3 linked regions of the Saccharomyces cerevisiae S288C genome follow. Changing the gene in region 2 together with the main gene of any one other region gives a genetic interaction. Each region holds a gene or a part of one and is shown on either strand. Other genes may lie near its edges.

Region 1 (5,814 bases), on a different chromosome or scaffold from region 2:
TCCCTTGTAAGATTATCTACTTGAGCTGGTTTTTTTTTAGTGCAGCAATAAAAAAAAAAATTAGTGACGCTGGTTTCCGCGCAGCGCTAATTTAAGAATTTTCAATATTGCCAACAAATTTTATCTTGGCAGTTATGAATGGAGGCCAAATTGTAGCATACAGTGTGAGCTCCATATTGCCAACAAATTTTATCTTGGCAGTTATGAATGGAGGCCAAATTGTAGCATACAGTGTGAGCTCCATATTGAATGATGCATGATCTATTTTCTTTTGGACAAATTTCTACCTTGCATAACCTTTGATTGATGAACCACTGATGTAGTTAAACTTTTAAAGTAGGGTTAAAATGTCCCTTTAATATATTTTTATAATTACTTACAGATTGTTGTTCTTATGTAAATTTTATTATTAAGCTCCACCTCCCCTAAAGTAAAATGGATAACATAAAGATTTTTCAAGATATGAACACCCTAATATGTGCACGGTCGTTACTTATATGCTATATATAAACTGTTGAAAGTATTCCCGTTACAAAAACAAGAAGACTCCAAGAAACCATTACTCCAAGTACAAAAGAATCATTTCTTGCCAAAGCCCTCCAATTTTTGACTAGCTTCTTGCAGAATCTTAGTAAAGCGGAGTCGTTGGTCATATCATCATCATCCCCATTTAAACTACCATAATATAACGTCGTATTACCTAACAACTGGCCTGAATTCATCCCGAAGTGACCCGGGCTGCTATTTATTACATCAGGACTATCCATCGAAATGTAATTAGCACTCAGTGGATGTTGGTACTCTTGATTTGTAGCTACTCTCTTACTGATAGTATTTTCGTCGTCGTCCTCAAACTCCCCCTGTGAATTATTAAACCAATCGTCTAGCTCTCTTCTTAAATATATCGAAGTGTTGATGAGGAAGTTTAGAGATATGAAAGGAATTATTACGCATAAGATGAAATTTGAAATGGTTCTTGAGCCGAAGTAGTTCACCACGGGAGTAAATAATCCTTCATGGCCGCGAACATAGACGAAATACATCGACAGAATCAATGATTCCCCAATTGTCAACATGATATTACTACCAACTACCAATATCATTAACAATAAACCGGTGACCAACTGGTATGCCGTGCTAAATGCAATAAATCTCTTTATCGGTGTGAAGCTTTTAGTAGTATTTTGTGTATTTTCATTAGGAACTGCCCATGTATAACCAAAAGATTTCTTCAAAATGGGCTGTTCTTCGTCTATGGGGAAACTCAAATCACCCGTATCTAGAGTTGTCAACTTTAATGAATTGTCGATGGGGTTCATCATGATAATTGTATCGTCCTGCGAATTATCTGGTACATGCAGCTGCTTCTTATTTTCATGAGGTTGCTGTCGTATGCTGCCATAAGTTGATGACGATGAACGTAGAGGTTTGATTGGATGGTACTCAGACGAGTATACGTTATTCGATATGGAAGATGAGTCATTTCTTACTTCAATACATTTGGACAACGTAATATCACTTCTGTCTACGACGTTGGGGCGATATTCTGTACTACAACCGCAGTCATCGTTATGGCTCATATCATTATTGTTACAGTAAGTGTTGGCGCTTTCCTGGTGTGTGAAGCCACTATTAATGTTTGGATCGGCGATTTCTTGGTAGTTAAACAAATTCCCTATTATGCATATGGTGAATTCACCCAGGGCCCATGATATACCAAAGATATAGGCTTGTCTTGGAATGATGTGCCAAGAACATTCCTTATGCTTGATCGTACCGCCTTCGTGATCTTGCACCTGAGGGTACGCTAAACCAATCAGTATCAAAAGCATAAAGACGTCGTTGATAGGAAAATCCACTATCAGGTTCAATATTAAAAACCTTTGATTTATATTGAATAGAAAGGTCTTCAGGAAATAATAAAGAAATGGTGAAAAAAGCCCCAAAAGAAAGGTCCTGAAATAGTCCTGCGAATTTGGTTTGAACATCAATGGATCATCATACTGGTGTAGCAGTAATTCGGACGACGCATAGAATAGTGAAAACAGTGAAATACTAAACAGCGCAGAAAGTATCACTATGTGAGGCCTTGTGGAGCAGAAAATAGGCATAAAATATGATGCTGCATGATTTAATCGGACCATATTCAGATATATTTCACAGGTATCTTTCTTTTGTGTAAAGAATACGAGGTATGATTTAAAACGTCAAAGAATGGAAGAGAAATTTTGAATGCGAAGAGATGCTAAGTATATTCTTGGTGTTAGGCTAAGCTTGTTGAAACAAAAAAGAAGGAATTTTGAAATTTCGTATCTTAAGTATGGACTATTGACGTTATTTGGAACTTTTCCATGTTCCACACTGTTCCTATCTTTCTATGCCTTTCCGCATTGGGACGAACTTTGCGCGAAGTGGAAATAATGAGTGACATTAGTCAGACAGACAAGAGGAAAATTCAAACCAGAGGAAAACTAGAATGATAGTTATCGAAAATGCAAAAGCTCAGTGTGATGTATTATTATATAGTTTTTCTGCTGTTTGACTATAAAAGAGTAAGAATATTCTAAAAAAAAAAAAAAAAAAGCTTCTGCGGAAACGCATGATTATTTGGTCATCGAGTCAATTTTATTTTCCAAAGAATCAATCTTCTTTCGTTGTTTTTCCAGTTGTTCTTTCAAATGGCGTAGTTGCTCCTTCTCACGCTGCCTAACGAAGAAGTCTTCCGTGGCCCTTTCCCTTTTAACAAACGAATCCTCTGAGCCTGACCCTCTTGGGGTGCCGGTAGAACCTTCAGAGTAGAACCTTGCGGCCACACCGCGCTGTAATTGCAATGAGCGTGCTAATGCTGAACGTGGTAACATATTCTATTGTGGAACTGTATAAAAGTGTGCTGTAGTAATGCGTGTAAAATGCACTCCTTTGGGATAGCAAAAACAAATTCAACCACGAACAAATTCAAAGAAAGTTTTAAACAAGATACAACAAGTCAAGTTATGAACCCCTCCTTCTCTAACGATTGTTAACGCCTTTTCTAGCCCCAAAACCTCGTTGCAGTGGAAAACGATGGGTGTCAGCAACTAGACAGTTGATTGGCATAATTGTGAATATCTGGATATTTGGTACCCGCAGCAGCCTCCCCTTATTCTGCCGCGAATGCGCGCGTCTGATTGGCCCGGCATCACGGGAGAGTAAATCTTCTTCTTTTAATGCGTATCGGACAAAGTAGATGGGAAAAAACATCATTTAGATATGTAGATGTAGATGCTATATATCGTATGTAATAAGTGAAAGAACATAATGTAATGGTTTGGGAACGTTAGGCGGATGGCTTAGTCCGCTTGGCGGCGGGGATGGTGGCCAGTTCCGGTACATCGCTGTCATTCTTCTTGTTCTTTTTTGCAGATAGTACTTGAGGAGTGCTGACCTCTGCGTGGAAGTTCTTGATGATAGAGTCAACATCATCGATATTCAGCGATCTGACATCACCCAGCTTCTTAATCTTAGCAGTAACTTCCTTGATTTGGTCATCCGTCAAGTTCAAGTTCAACTGGTCGACTCTGGCTTTGATGGCGTTCCAGCCAGTTAGTCTGTTGGCGAAGTGGATATACCTCTTCATACCGAAATCGTGAGGGTCCAAGATTTCGTAGGTAGATGGGTTAGCCAAAATGGCCTTGGCATGGATACCTGCTTTATGTGTGAATGCACAGAACCCGGTGATAGGGTTGTTGAATGGAATGTTAACTTCCACAGCATCAGCGACCAGGTTTTCAATGTCTCTGATCTTGTGCAACTTGTATTTGGACTTGACATAGTCTGGTGCGGCAACAATCATTCTTGCCATGAGCCCACCTAGAGGAGTGATACCGTTTCTTTCACCAATACCCAGTACACTGACGTCAATCAATCTGGCACCACCTTCCAAAGCAGTGTAGGCGTTTGCAATGGCACAACCAGTATCGTTGTGGAAATGGCATTCGATGTCACATGAAACAACACTCTTCAAAGTTCTGATCAGTTCATATACTTGTCTTGGGTTGGCACATCCAACTGTGTCGGCAATACCGACTCTATTTACACCGATCTTGTCAACGGTTTTATAAATGTTCAAAAGATCAACGAGATCACTTCTGAAGGAATCTTCAGAGGAAAATCTGATTTCAATACCTTTGGATTTGACAAATTCAATGACTTCAACAGCACTCTTGGCGATGTAGTTCATATCCTTACCGTGGGAATATTGTCTTAAAAATTTGGAGGTGCCGATAACGACATCGACACCGTCGACACCAGTCTCTACGGCGACTTTGGCGTCATCCATATGACAACGAATGTGTGTAAGGATCTTGGCCTTTAAACCTAGTTTACATATAGCTTCACAGTCCTTTCTTGATTGTTCAGATGCTACTGGTGAGGTTAACTCGATGTAGTCCACACCGAAATCGTCCAAGGCTCTAGCAATTTCGATCTTTTTTTCAGTATCGAAGAATGCGTTGGCAAATTGTTCACCTTCTCTCAGCGTCGAATCGATTAACTGGAAATTATTTACATTAGAAAGATAGTCGCCCGGTTTGGCAGCATATGGATTTGGTTTAGCAGCAGTCATCTTTAGGAAAACAATACAGGGTCCTTCCTTTGTTTGTTATGTAGATAAGAAACAAGAATAAACTAAACGGGAACATATCAAATACACTTTATCGATAAGCAGCCAATATCATTTATATATATCATCATCGGGTATTTAAGCAGGTGTAAAAAATGGCCAGCGATGAGGCCCTTAAAACTTGGTAATAATATTACTCACGCATCATCGTCAGCAAGAACCTAAAGCGCAAATTAAATTATTGCCTATTGCTCTAATGTCGTCGTCGTCCACTACCGAAGAGAAAATTCCCCAGCAATTTTGGTCATATTTTTCAACCATGAATAAGGGATAGTGGGACAAGGCCAGGCCATTGTGACATTACTCATTTTTTTGCCACTTGCAACGCTAGTAACGCCGTATCCACAGAGAAACCGGGAGTGGCGCGAAGAGATCTTTTTTTTCTTTTACTACGTGTGATCCTCTAAAGAATTCTTTTTCTCAACCTAGCAAAGTAACCCACGCTTAAACTTCCTTGCAGAGAGTTCCCGTCGGAATTTGTTTTTTTCTTACTAAAACTACGCAATATTCCGGCGGAATTTGACGCAGACGTAACATCAGTCATCAGTTAATTTAGAATAACGATGAGCCAGCTGATCGGGTACTGTGGACGGAGTTTATAAGGAAGAGAAAATGCTGAGTGCATTAGTCATAAGAGAGGAGCGTGATCTGTAATTCCCTCTGCCTGTGCGGATCACTTCCTACAATTTATTTTGTAAAAGAGAGCACGTCTGTAGTTTCAAACAAAATCACCAACTGTGCTTTGTTCGAATACCCAGGGAACTGTTTGTTCGTCGAATCGAGATAATAGCAAACAAGAGTCTCGGTTGAGTAAACGCTCATAGACAAGAAACTAGGAACATGGCTAAAATCTTGCATCGATGTAACATTAATATAAATAGTTTGCAGCAACCGATTTACACAAAAACTGAATCTCAAGCGCACGCAGTATACCAAATTTGGTTCCTAGAGTTTTTTATATGGGCGGCTAACCTTGGAGAGATCAAAAAAGTGTACTTAACTACGAATGACATTTTAGAGGGTTTCAAGCGTATTATAATGAGATAATCTTTCAGCTGGTAGCAATTATGGTCTAATAATTTTTCGTTTATTCGGCCCTCAACCATTTGTTGAGCTTATACCGATTTAGAGCCCATAAAACGTCGTGATAATCC
Region 2 (7,763 bases):
TGCCTTTTTGTATATACATACACTAATCCGGGAAATGTAGTCACCATACTAATATTCCGAATATGTATTTGTTCCTTGGTATATAGTGTAAGCATGGTTAGCTCACACTTTATCTAATTGTAGTTTCTTCGTATGCTTCATCAAGTTGCCTAATTTTAATACAACATCGGTACCATATCCAGGCATTGAATGCAATGAAAGGTCGCCGTTCCAATATTCAGCATACACTTTACACATGGCTAACCCAATCCCAAGCTTGTATCTAAAAGACCGCTTTAACAATTCAATTAGGGGAGTTTCATATTTGATGTGCCCATTTATGATGCTAGGATAACTCATTGGTTCTAGCGACGTGTGCATGTACGGTTTTAATGTTATTGACTGCAATGACTTCAGTTTGGAGTTATATTTAGTATGGGAATGTACTTCGTCATAAATAGATACTGTTTGTAAACCAGGTAACTTGTGAAAATTATTTAGGGATTCTTGAGCCCTTTCTTTCGATTTACCGAATGACCATAGATTTTCATCATCATGGAGGACGCCCCCAGCTTTATCTGAAATTCTAAACAAATAGGATTCATCGTTACTTACTACAGTTACTATGATTGGTTCCGGCTTTTCTAATCCCTTACGAATATAGTGTTTCATGGTTGCTTCGTAAGTATTTCGAAGGATCTCCCCTAACAAATACTTCAAATGTGTAGGCAAAAAGTAAAAGCTTAGTTGAGTGTCACCTTCGATAATAAATTCTGGCATGGGAATGTCTTTAAAGTACATATCTTGGATAAATTTTTGAGATTCCTCACTGGCTTCCAATAAATATTTTTTAGCGCTACATTCTTGAAAAATATCACCCAATACCAAGGTATTTTCCTCCTTACCACTAGTGTAGTTGGCTGTGATACTGACGTGTTCCTCTACAATCAATCTTCTTGATATTCGAGCTCTTAACAGATCAGATAGTAGTTGGTCCATTTTTTCACGAGGATAAAGATCCAAAATTGTACATTCTAAAGCCCCCATTATCAAATGTGGTAAGTTTAGAGTATTGAAGCCTTCTAGCATATTTTTGATAAAATCTGCAAATTGAGAAGCGTCCTCTAAAGTTCTTATAGTCGGATATTTTCTAAAGCTTTCAAAAATATTGTAATATGACTCATAAACTTGAACAAAATGGAAGTTGTTCACAACATTAAATGGAAGTTGTTGCAATTGATTTAATTTATGCGCGATCCTAATTACCAGTTCTTCTTTTACAAATTTCCCGGAATTGATGATCTTGGTTCTGGTCAGCTTGGTAGAATCGTCATAATATTGCGCTAACTGCGTTAATGATACTGGATTTGGACTTCGTTTTAAGTAATTTTCTACTAATACCGTTCTATTATGATAGTAATGCTGCGGATTGATATATTCGGAATTTGAAGGGTATGCCTTCATGGTTTCCATGATGTAAGGTGCCAATTCTTCATTTACGGGACCAATGCAGTATTTCGTGAAATCAGGGATCTGCGAGATATTAGATGTCCTGAGAAAGTGCCGGTATCTTATGCAATTAATTTGATACTTAGACATAATTACAGAACTATTTATCCATTGACCAATCTCTCACGATCTTCATCTTTTACGTACTTTCTGGGTTCCAATGCAAGTATCCCATCCCTTCCCTTTTTATTCCTTGACGATCGGGCGATGAAATCTGAAAAAAATGAAAGTTTGGATGACTCAAAACATAGTGTTTCCCTTTAATAGAATAATTCGATTTACTCGGGAACAAAAGAGAAGAGCAACTAATTTACTATGTAGTTTACGAGCGTATGTTCATCTCTTCTATATATTCTCCCAGAGTATTATTGGAAATGTTGATGAATGCTAATTCAGGCTCACCTTCTCCTTGAAATGATTCGGAGATTTCTTTATTGATGAGTGTTAACAGACCCAAATCCCATTTGTTCCTTAAACTAACAAAAAATTTCATATATGTTAGTACCAAGAGTAAATCACCTTGCGTTCTTTTCTTTTGCTTGGCGGCAGAAAAACATATTAAAGCAATGCTATGAATGGAAGCCATGCGATCTTCATTAATAGTGATGTAAGGTCTTGGAGGTAGAGTTGGCATTATCGGTACACTATTAGCGGTATTCCCAGGATTCTGTTGTTCGATTAAACCGACAGTTTCGTCACGATTAGCAGCCTCAGGAGATCTAATCATCATATCTCTTAGAATGTCAAGAACAGCAATCTTTGCAGTTATATATGGACAATGTAGTAGAGTTTCAAAGATGAACGTAAAAGATGTGCTTTCGGGCATGAGATAGAGTAACCTCCTCAGAAGAGTAATTTCGGTCAACTTAGTGTCGTTATTAGATTCATTGCAAGTTTTCATCAGTAACATCTGCAAAAAGGCCGTGGTAATGTGCCCTGGAAGTTCTTGTAAGGCACACTTTATTTTCTCTGTGGAAGTCTCGGTTGTGGATACCCATAGCCAGTAGCGTACTGAACTTTCCAAAAACTTATTTTCGTATATTTCTGAAAATAAAGAAGCTGTCGTACACCGTAGATAGAGGTAAATTGCGCTTTGGATATCAATTTGCGGCAATAAGTGAGTACCATTTTTAGAATAATGTATTGCAGATAGAATCACAACTCCATATTGGTCCAGCTCTAAGTTCTTTTCGTCAGCTAGTTTCTTGATTTGATATGCGTAAGATACCTCATATACTAGTTGGTTAATTTCTTCTTTGAATTCGGGCGTGGAAGCGGCCGGGTTCATGAGAAGAGAGTTATAGATGCTTCTTGATTCTACCAGGCACTTTTCTAAAAGTTCTTTCATGTGGACATCCAATGATGTGACATACTCGTAGTATTGGTGGCATATCTGTAAAACTGAAGCATCGATTTCATTTTCATCTGTTTTTTTATGCATCAATGTTTTGAAATATATCTTGTCAATATTACCTGGATGATTTTTTAGGCAGTTGCTAATCACGAATACGCTCAGATTAGCCAGTAGTTTTTTCTGTAAGGCAGATTCATCATCATGAATTTTTTCAAGATCGTTTGTACTAATACCATCGGTCAGACTAGCAGATGGTTGAGCTGGAGAGTAATTAGTACAAAAATTGTACACTATGCGCAAAATAAAGTGTGGATCATCCATAGCCTGAACGTTGGTTGTTACATACTTAATAATTGCAGAAGTTACCATGGCTAGAAATTTAGATGGATATAAAGTGTCCACACGTTTCAACAATAAACTCATAAATTCAAAGAGAACGTAAATTTTCAAATTTGGAATGAATTCTACTGTATTTTTGGCCATATAGTGCCCAATCTCCGGAGTGATAACTGACAGCTCATCAGTAATGTTTGACGCATCATTTCTATTGGAGTCATTTAAATCTTCATTCTCTTCATCGGAGTCGCCAGTTTCAGTTAAGACTATATGGAGTGTTGACACCAATTCGCAAGCGGTCAACAAGCATTCTTTCGGATTTCCATTGATGGCTAGCTCATTGAAGCATTCCATCACACTAGAAACAAGGGGACTAAAAACTAGATGTATATTGACATTGATGTTTTTGCGTGAGAAAAACTGCAATAAACCCTTTGGCAGATCCCAGCCAATTTCCTTTAAGGTAACTGGATTATCCTTAAGTATTTTCAATAGGGCATCCAAATAACGTTCCTTTTCTTTTATAGACTTTCCAGAGTTCACCTGCTCGTTGTACATATCAATGATTGTTACAAGTGAGACAAAATCATCCTTCTCCTCTTGGAAAGCCCTGACAAGGCTTTTACAAATTGTTTCAATTGACTCACCCATACTTTCTGAGCCCTTCCTCTTGACGGTGAGTTCTTTTAGCCTTTTAGACCCAGGATAATATGTATTTTCCTTTATTCTTAGATGAGAGGTTTTTGGACCTCAGCGCAAGTTAGTTTCACAGCGAAACGAAGGAAAAAAGAATAATAATTACAAACAAACGCCAAAATCAAACGCGATAAAGAAAGATAGGCTAAGTAATCTGGACTGGTGACTCAAGTATTACTAAAGAAGATAATTTGAAACTTGAACAAGTCTTCAATATGAGTGAGCAAAGCCAATTAGATGATTCGACTATAGACAAACTGATTCCACAGATTTTCAATGAGATGAGATCTAACCTCAATAACACGACCAATAAATTTCCAAAAAGCACAGGAGGTGGAGCAAGCGATAATATTTCGGCTAACAGCAATTCTATAAGATCGTTTAATTCAATCACAACGCAATCCTTACTCAAAGAATCAGAATCGTTAGATAAAATAACAGCAATGATAAAAAATGTTACGGCCGCATTAAAAAATAACTTGCCAGTATACGTTAATCAAGTACATGAGGTATGTAAATCTACGAATTCCATTTTAGATTCATGGATCAACATTCATTCTCAAGCTGGTTATATTCATAAATTGATGAGCGATCAAACCTATTTAAAGCTAATTAATGATAGACTGCACAATGAAAATGTAAACACAAATGATGAAGATGGGAGTACTTTACACAACGTGATAGCGTTGAAAAAGAAGGAGATCTTGGATTTGAGACAAAAATTAGAAAATAGGAAGGGTGAAAAGGATGCTGCACCAGCAAAGCCACCAAATCAAGGCTTAAATCCAAGGTACGGTGTGCAATCTGGTAGAAGGCCCGTTCCTTCGGCAGGAATTTCAAATAACGGAAGAGTAAGAAAGACCCATGTTCCTGCCTCGAAAAGACCTAGTGGTATACCAAGAGTAACTAACAGGTGGACTAAGCCCACTGCTAGCAGCTCAAGGAAGATGTTTCGCTAAAAGATGCTTTCGGGAATGTATCTAGGATTTATTGTATATGGAATTTAAATCGAAATAGTAGATAAATTAATGATGAAAAAAGGACACGTTAATTGGATGCGTTAAATTATTATTTTTTTTTTTATTTAACTTTTGTTCCTAATTATGTATTAGTATTTACTGGTCGTCAAAAAATAGGAAAGGTAAATAAATAAGATTCGGGTATATTATACATTATAAATGAGAACTAACCGGTTCATGCCTTAGTTTCAACAGGAACTTGGTCTTCTAATAGAACTAATAAATCAGAAGAGTCCACATTTTCACCATCAGAGACAAACACTTCTTTAACTTGTCCATCGGATGGAGAAGATATAATCATTTCCATTTTCATGGCGCTTAATACGGCTACAGGTTGGCCCTTCTTTATTAGTGATCCTTTATGAACTTTAACTTCAACAATGACACCTGCCATTGGTGCACCAATGTGTAATGGATCATGCATGTCTGCTTTGGATTTAGTAACAGTTTCCACTTTTTGTGATCTGTCAGCAACACGAATTTTTCTCATTTCACCATTCAAATCAAAGTAAACTTCTCTTTCACCGGTCTTTTTGTTCAAATCACCCACAGCCTGTAGCTTGATAATTAGCGTTTTACCTTGTTCGATTACAACTTCAATTTCTTCGTCAGTCTCTAGTGGAGACAAAAAGCTTCTTGTTGGCAATACAGATAAATCACCATACGTTTCTCTCATCTTTTGGAAGTCTTCATAAACTCTTGGGTACATGTTATAAGAAGCAACGTCGCACTCATCAACATCACCAAATCTATTCTGCAAGTCTTCTCTAATTTTTTCGAGATCAAATGGCTCTAGTTCCAGGCCTGGACGACAAGTCAACTTTCTTCTCTTGTTCCTTAAAACGTCTGATCTAAATGGTTCTGGGAACCCACCATATGGTTGGCCGATTAAGCCTTCGAAGAAATCCATAACAGAGTCAGGGAAATCCAAAGAATTAGCCAGGCGTCTCACATCATCGGAAGTTAATTTATTGGAGACCATAAATTGTGCCAGATCACCAACGACCTTCGAAGTTGGGGTAACTTTGACAATATCACCCAATAAATAATTGGCTTCTCTGTAAGCTCTTTTTGTTTCGGCCCATTGTTCTCCAAGACCCAATTGTTGGGCTTGAAACAACAAGTTTGTCAATTGACCACCTGGGATTTCATGTTGATAAACTTCTGGATCTGGGCCCTTCAAGTCAGCCTCGAAACAAGAGTATAACAATCTCATCTCTGCCCAATATGCATCTAGTTCACGGACATGCTCAACGTTAATACCAGTGTCAATATTACCTTCTAATGAAGCCAACAGAGCATTGATTGATGGTTGTGAAGTTAAACCAGACATTGAGTTGATGGCAACATCAACGACATCGGCGCCCGCCAGAGCACACGCAGTCATTGATGCAACAGCAGTACCTGCAGAATCGTGAGTGTGAACATGTATTGGGAGATCAGGGTACTTAGCCCTCAAAGATCCAATCAGTAGTTTGGCAGCTGCTGGCTTCATGGTACCTGCCATATCTTTGATACCCAGGATATGAGTGCCCATTTGGACAATTTTTTCAGCAATTTCCAAGTAGTAATCCAAATTGTATTTCTTGCCTGGCTGAAGCATATCCCCAGAGAAACAAACAGTGGCTTCTACAACACCACCTGCCTTCTTCACAGCATCTACACCGACCTTCAATTGTTCCAAGTCATTTAAGGCATCAAAGACTCTAAATATATCAACACCATTATCCTTGGCTTGCTTGACGAAATGGTCAATAGCATTGTCAGGCAATGAAGAATAAGCCACACCATTGGCACCACGCAATAACATTTGGAATGGAATATTAGGCACCAGAGATCTTAATTTTCTCAAACGTTCCCATGGATCCTCATGCAAAAATCTCATTGCAACATCGAATGTGGCACCACCCCAACATTCTAAGGCGAAACGACCTGCAAGGGCATGTGCGGTTGTTGGAGCGATTGTAGCCAAATCGTGGGTTCTGACTCTTGTTGCAAGTAGAGATTGATGAGCGTCTCTCCAGGTGGTGTCCATCAATAAAGTACCATTGAACTGTCTAACTTGTCTGGCAAATTCAGCTGGCCCCTTTTCTAGTAGCACTTGCCTCCATCCGGATGGTGGTGCAGACTTTGTAACGTTGATGACATTGCCCTGAGCATCGTGCAAATGGGGGACACTTGGATTTGATTTTAATTTTGGCAAGCCAATTTGACCCTTGATAGATGAACCATTGACTGCCACGTCGGCGAGGTAATGTAAAAGTTTTTGGGCTCTGTTTTGTGATGAAACCATTTGGAACAGTTGTGGGGTGTCGTCAATAAAAGTCGTCCAGTATGTACCCTCAATAAATACTGGATTGGTCAAAAGAGTCAATAGGAAGGGAATGTTGGTCTTGACACCTCTAATTCTGAACTCGATTAATGCACGAATCATTTTTCTACGAACGATTTCGTAGGTGGAACCGGAGCATGAGCATTTGACCAGCATTGAGTCGTAATGAGGTGAGATTATTGTTCCTGCATAGGCGTTACCACCATCCAGTCTAACACCATTACCACCTGCAGAACGGTACACTTCTATTCTACCGGTATCTGGTTGGAAGTTCTTAGCAGGGTCTTCCGTGGTAATACGGCACTGAATGGCAAAGCCACGAGTCGTAATTTTGTCCTGGAATAGGCCCAGCTGGGGTAGAGAGGCACCTGCCGCAATTTGGATCTGAGCCGCCACAATATCTATACCGGTAATTTCTTCTGTGATGGTATGTTCCACTTGGATTCTTGGATTAATTTCAATGAAATAGTGTCTATTTTGGTTATCAACCAAGAATTCAGCAGTACCCGCATTTCTGTAGCCACACTCTTTGGCCAAT
Region 3 (5,364 bases), on a different chromosome or scaffold from region 2:
CATGGGTGTTGGGTTATCCAATGGCCACATGAGAATAATTCTACCCCTAAGGTTTTTATCAGGTGTCTTTGCATCCCCCGCCTTATCCGTTGGATCAGGTACCATCCTGGATATCTTTGACGTGGACCAGGTCTCCGTCGCAATGACATACTTTGTTCTATCTCCATTCTTAGGGCCAGTTTTATCTCCTATTATGGCAGGATTTGCTACTGAAGCCAAAGGCTGGCGTTGGTCTGAATGGATCCAATTGATTGCGGGCGGTCTAATCTTGCCATTTATTGCGCTCATGCCAGAGACCCATAAAGGTATTATTTTAAGAAAGCGTGCCAAGAAGAGAAATATAGCCTTGAAGAAGTTCAGCAGGGAAGCTCAGAAAGAATTTTTAAAAACCACTGTCACTATTACAATCTTAAGGCCTTTAAAAATGCTTGTCGTTGAACCTATTGTATTTGTTTTCAGTGTTTATGTCGCTTTCATATTCGCCATTTTATTTGGATTTTTCGAAGCATACGCTGTCATTTATCGTGGTGTTTACCACATGTCTATGGGGATATCTGGCTTGCCATTTATTGGTATTGGTGTCGGGTTATGGATAGGTGCTTTCTTTTACCTTTACATCGACAGAAAATATCTCTTCCCTAAACCACCAGCTGGCACTCAACCACTCACCGAAAAAGAGAGAACTTCTAAAAGGACTACCCCTTACAGAGGTGCAAGAGACGCTGAAACAGGTGAATTGCTACCCGTTGTTCCAGAAAAATTTTTAATTGCCTGTAAATTTGGTTCTGTAGCTTTGCCTATCGGCCTGTTTTGGCAAGCCTGGACTGCTAGATCAGATGTCCACTGGATGGCTCCTGTGGCTGCCGGTGTGCCATTTGGTTTTGGTTTAATTTTGATTTTTTTCAGCGTTTTAATGTACTTCTCTACATGCTATCCGCCATTAACTGTGGCATCCTGTTTGGCTGCCAATAATCTATTAAGATACGTTATGAGTAGTGTATTCCCATTGTTTACCATCCAAATGTACACAAAGATGAAAATCAAATGGGCAAGCACTTTATTTGCATTAGTTTGCGTTGTGATGATTCCAATTCCATGGGTTTTTGAAAAATGGGGGAGCAAATTAAGACACAAGTCACAATTTGGTTATGCCGCCATGGAAAAGGAGGCTGAGACCGAAGGTGGTATAGATGACGTAAATGCTGTCGATGGTGAATTGAATCTAACAAGGATGACCACGTTAAGGACCATGGAAACAGACCCTTCGACTAGAGAAAAACCAGGTGAAAGGCTATCTCTGCGCAGGACCCATACGCAGCCCGTTCCTGCCTCGTTTGATCGCGAGGACGGGCAACATGCGCAAAATCGTAATGAACCCATTTCCAATAGTTTATACTCAGCTATCAAGGATAATGAAGACGGTTATTCGTATACGGAAATGGCCACCGATGCTTCCGCCAGAATGGTTTGAAAAGGTCTTAAGACAGATCACAATTGCATATATTCAAATAGTAAATTGGGGGATAGCTGGATAAAATTCACCAATTTAAATTTATAGAAGTTTCATACAAGTACACATTATCATAGAAGTATTTTTTTTTTTAGCAAGTAATGTCGTTTTACATAAAGAAGAAGGTGACAGAAATTTGCGAAAGCTGTTGGCAAAACCAAATTTATTTCAAGTATATCAGTACATTATTCTACATAAAAACAACAACAGTTTTTTCTCAGTTTTTGAAAATGTTGTCTCCTTTATTTATTTGAATCTTTTTGTCTTGACCAGCGCTGATAATACCCACTTTTTCAGCCCATTTGACAGCAAAAACTTTGTCATTGACGCCCTTTTGGACCGATTTGTCTTCTCTTGTTATGGTGTACATCGGAGAAGTAGACCTGACGTCCCATACCTTCACGGTACCATCGTGAGAACCCGAGCATAATATATACTCATTCTCGGGACAAGTGTCCAGAGAGGAAACGAAGTTCTTATGACCAATTAGTTGTTGCTGAGTAACTTTGGAAGACGCTCCCACACGTGGGTCATGCAATGTGATGTGTCTGGCGCTGGACCCACATGCTAACAAGTTCAAAGTCGACAATTGAGCAATGGAAAGCAACGAGTACGATGTTGTTCTTGTATCTATACATCTCGCGGTGACCAAATCCCATGTCTTGATGGTATGATCTTGTGATACTGAATAACCAACGGTATTATCTGTAGAATCGAAGATCACTTGCTCAACAGGAGCTGTATGGGATTCTAACAGAGACAGAGGGGCACGTCTTCTAATGGTACCATCTTTCATTGTCAATTTTCTCCTTTTTCTAGCAGCAGTGGATATTTTATTGTTTGGATTGTTTATATCTTCTAATGGATCAACAACTGTCATTTCCTTATAAATAGTAGACCAGAACCCAATAGAATTGTCGTATGATGCAGATAATATTCTTGAGTTGTCTGAAACATCAATAGAGACTACTGGTGCCTTATGACCTTCCAAGATAGCCAGTGTCTTACCGTCCTCTATGTTTACTTCGTCATCATCGTCTTCCTGTGCCTGTTGTTGTGAAGTTAATTTCAAATCATCGTTTTTGGTTTTCCATAATCTCAAAGTACGGTCGTTACCAGCCGAAACTAGCCTTGTATTGGAAATGTATTTTACTGCACGGATTGGGCCAGAATGACCACTGTACTGCTTTTGCACATTACCTGATAAATCCCAGGTGCGAACTATACCATCGTAAGAACCACTAATAATATGCTTGGAACCGTCGCCGACATCCAATGAGCTAACCCAGTCCTCATTGCTGAAACTATTCAAATAGGATGGTGGAAGAATTGCCCTGGTATATTCTACATTCAGCGAGGCTTCGCTCGATAAACCTTTCTTGGTCAAATAGTCGTGCAATGAAGTACGTAACAATTCACCTTCAATCAAGAAATCGAAAGGAACAGGCTTTTCCGAGCCCAACAAGTGATTGACAATTTCGGACAACCCATATCTCTTTAATGAGATGGGGGCGTACATTGGAGTATCTTGTACATGTAGTAATTCATCTTTCTCACGCGTGAAAAACCTGATTTTAACCTGCGATTTATCTTCTGTCATATTGAATTTGTGCAGTTTCCCTTGGTATTGTCTTTAAAACTTTAGGTAACGTATTGGTTCTGCGAACATAGAATATGTCTTTTTGCAATTATACAGATGAGCATATGCCTTTCACTGCTCCTACGGTTTGCGATGAGATGAGCACTTCAGAAAATTTTTGAAAAATTTTTGAAGTACTGGCCGGGTAACAGAAAACTGTCAAACCCTCTTGTGCAAGAAATAAGCTAAAGTTCTCCCTAAGAATAAAATAGTAAAGGAAGCTATTGCTACAGATAAATATAAATGAATGAAAGATATCTCACTCGCGCAGCTACCGATCTGGGCCAATGGGAGACACTAAAAGAAGCACCTGTGAGAAGCGCCCAGAACAGTATGAGGACGCTCATGAGTGTGGGAGTTGCTCTAGCTCTTCTTTTCCCCTCTGATCACCTACGGATGTAAGATGGCACAGTGAATAGAAGGCATGTTTAATATGTATCATGCCTTCTTCGGAACCGAAAATCAAAGATAACTAAAAAATGAAAGAAGAGTAATACTAGAAAAATGATCGCTGCCTCGGCGCTTTTTATACCAATGGTGCCCGAGACGAACGAAAAGTTTTTCTTTCGTACTGGCGTCCGGTACCGGAGCGTACCAGATTGAGGTAATTGGATAAGAGACTGTTAGGTCTTCGCATCAGCTTTACAGTTTTCAAAGGCGTCGACCACTGCAAGTTAGCAATAATAAAACCACACAGCATCGAAAGAAAAAAATAAACAAGGCAGAGAAATATGGCATCATCAGTCCCAGGGCCCATCGATTTGCCCGAATCCCGCTATGACTTATCCACGTATTGGGGTAGAATCCGCCATTGCGCAGAGATTTCCGACCCCACTATGTTGTTAACTACTGAGAAGGACCTGGCGCATGCTAGAGAAATCATCAGTGCGTATCGTCACGGTGAACTAAAAGAGACTACTCCGGAGTTCTGGCGAGCCAAGAAACAACTGGACTCCACCGTGCATCCGGACACAGGGAAGACAGTTCTTTTGCCCTTCCGTATGTCTTCCAACGTGCTATCAAACCTAGTCGTTACTGTAGGTATGCTGACGCCTGGTTTGGGTACGGCAGGGACTGTATTTTGGCAATGGGCAAATCAATCGCTAAACGTCGCCGTTAATTCCGCTAACGCAAACAAATCTCATCCTATGTCCACGTCCCAATTGCTCACCAATTACGCTGCCGCTGTAACTGCGTCGTGTGGTGTTGCGTTAGGTCTAAATAACCTAGTTCCCAGGTTGAAAAACATTTCTCCACATTCAAAGTTGATCTTGGGCCGTTTGGTGCCATTTGCCGCCGTGGTCAGTGCCGGTATTGTCAACGTCTTCCTAATGAGAGGCAACGAAATTAGAAAGGGTATTTCTGTGTTTGACTCTAACGGTGACGAAGTCGGAAAGTCCAAGAAGGCTGCCTTCATGGCAGTTGGTGAAACTGCATTAAGTAGAGTGATTAACGCCACTCCAACTATGGTCATCCCACCTTTGATTTTGGTTAGACTACAACGCGGTGTCCTCAAAGGTAAGTCTCTCGGTGTGCAAACTTTGGCCAATTTGGGGTTGATCTCAGTCACAATGTTCTCAGCTTTGCCATTTGCACTCGGTATCTTCCCTCAAAGACAAGCAATCCATTTAAATAAACTAGAACCTGAACTACATGGCAAGAAGGATAAGGATGGGAAGCCAATTGAAAAGGTCTATTTTAACAGAGGTATTTAGAAGTGAAGAGACAAATTTATATAGTTATAGAATAAATATCAGATAGATAAGAAAAAAAAATTAGTTAAACATTAATATATATATATGTGTAGTGACTGACATACGTATGACTGCTAGTAATCCAGTTGCCGAGCTATTGTTGCAGATTGAAATGTCATCACGTGGACATTATATCATCATTAACGACTAATGCGTCAAAAAAAAAATGGGCTAAAAAAAAAAAAAGCAAAAAAAAGAAACTCAGATAAGTCGATATGGAAAACCTTTTTTCTTGAGTGCAACCCTTTTAGAGGTTACAAAACAACAAAAGTCCAAATAAGTCCATAGCTTTTGCCTCTCAATATATCTATACTTGCTTAGAGGGCTACCTGTGTGTATTTGCTAGCTTTTACCTTTCTCTATACAACAAGTGAGGGTTTGAACTTTTAAATCCCTTTTAATTTGAATCAAAAAAAAAACATTTAAAGGTTACACAAGGAAAATAATGGCAGAGAAGGAGG

The links. Genes that interact genetically often act in the same process or in processes that back each other up.
Region 1: mutations in YBP2 (region 2) and AIT1 together harm fitness less than expected from each alone (positive genetic interaction), as found in Saccharomyces cerevisiae (2 studies listed by BioGRID).
Region 3: mutations in YBP2 (region 2) and FSF1 together harm fitness more than expected from each alone (negative genetic interaction), as found in Saccharomyces cerevisiae (2 studies listed by BioGRID).

Annotation. Positions count from the first base shown.
Region 1 is NC_001136.10:132,226-138,039, reverse strand, and holds AIT1 (Ait1p), read right to left. Parts: upstream 2,145-5,814; coding exon 501-2,144; downstream 1-500. Other genes in the region: INH1 (ATPase inhibitor), read right to left, coding at 2,604-2,861; homocitrate synthase LYS20, read right to left, coding at 3,317-4,603.
Region 2 is NC_001139.9:386,038-393,800, reverse strand, and holds YBP2 (Ybp2p), read right to left. Parts: upstream 3,737-7,763; coding exon 1,811-3,736; downstream 1-1,810. Other genes in the region: protein kinase PKP2, read right to left, coding at 103-1,578; DUO1 (Duo1p), read left to right, coding at 4,090-4,833; PYC1 (pyruvate carboxylase 1), read right to left, coding at 5,069-7,763. UniProt on the Saccharomyces cerevisiae protein: Involved in oxidative stress response and redox homeostasis. Required for hydrogen peroxide-induced activation of YAP1. Acts in a parallele pathway to YBP1.
Region 3 is NC_001147.6:830,559-835,922, reverse strand, and holds FSF1 (Fsf1p), read left to right. Parts: upstream 1-3,880; coding exon 3,881-4,864; downstream 4,865-5,364. Other genes in the region: TPO4 (Tpo4p), read left to right, coding at 1-1,471; YTM1 (Ytm1p), read right to left, coding at 1,728-3,110; VPH1 (H(+)-transporting V0 sector ATPase subunit a), read left to right, coding at 5,349-5,364. UniProt on the Saccharomyces cerevisiae protein: Mitochondrial amino-acid transporter that mediates transport of serine into mitochondria.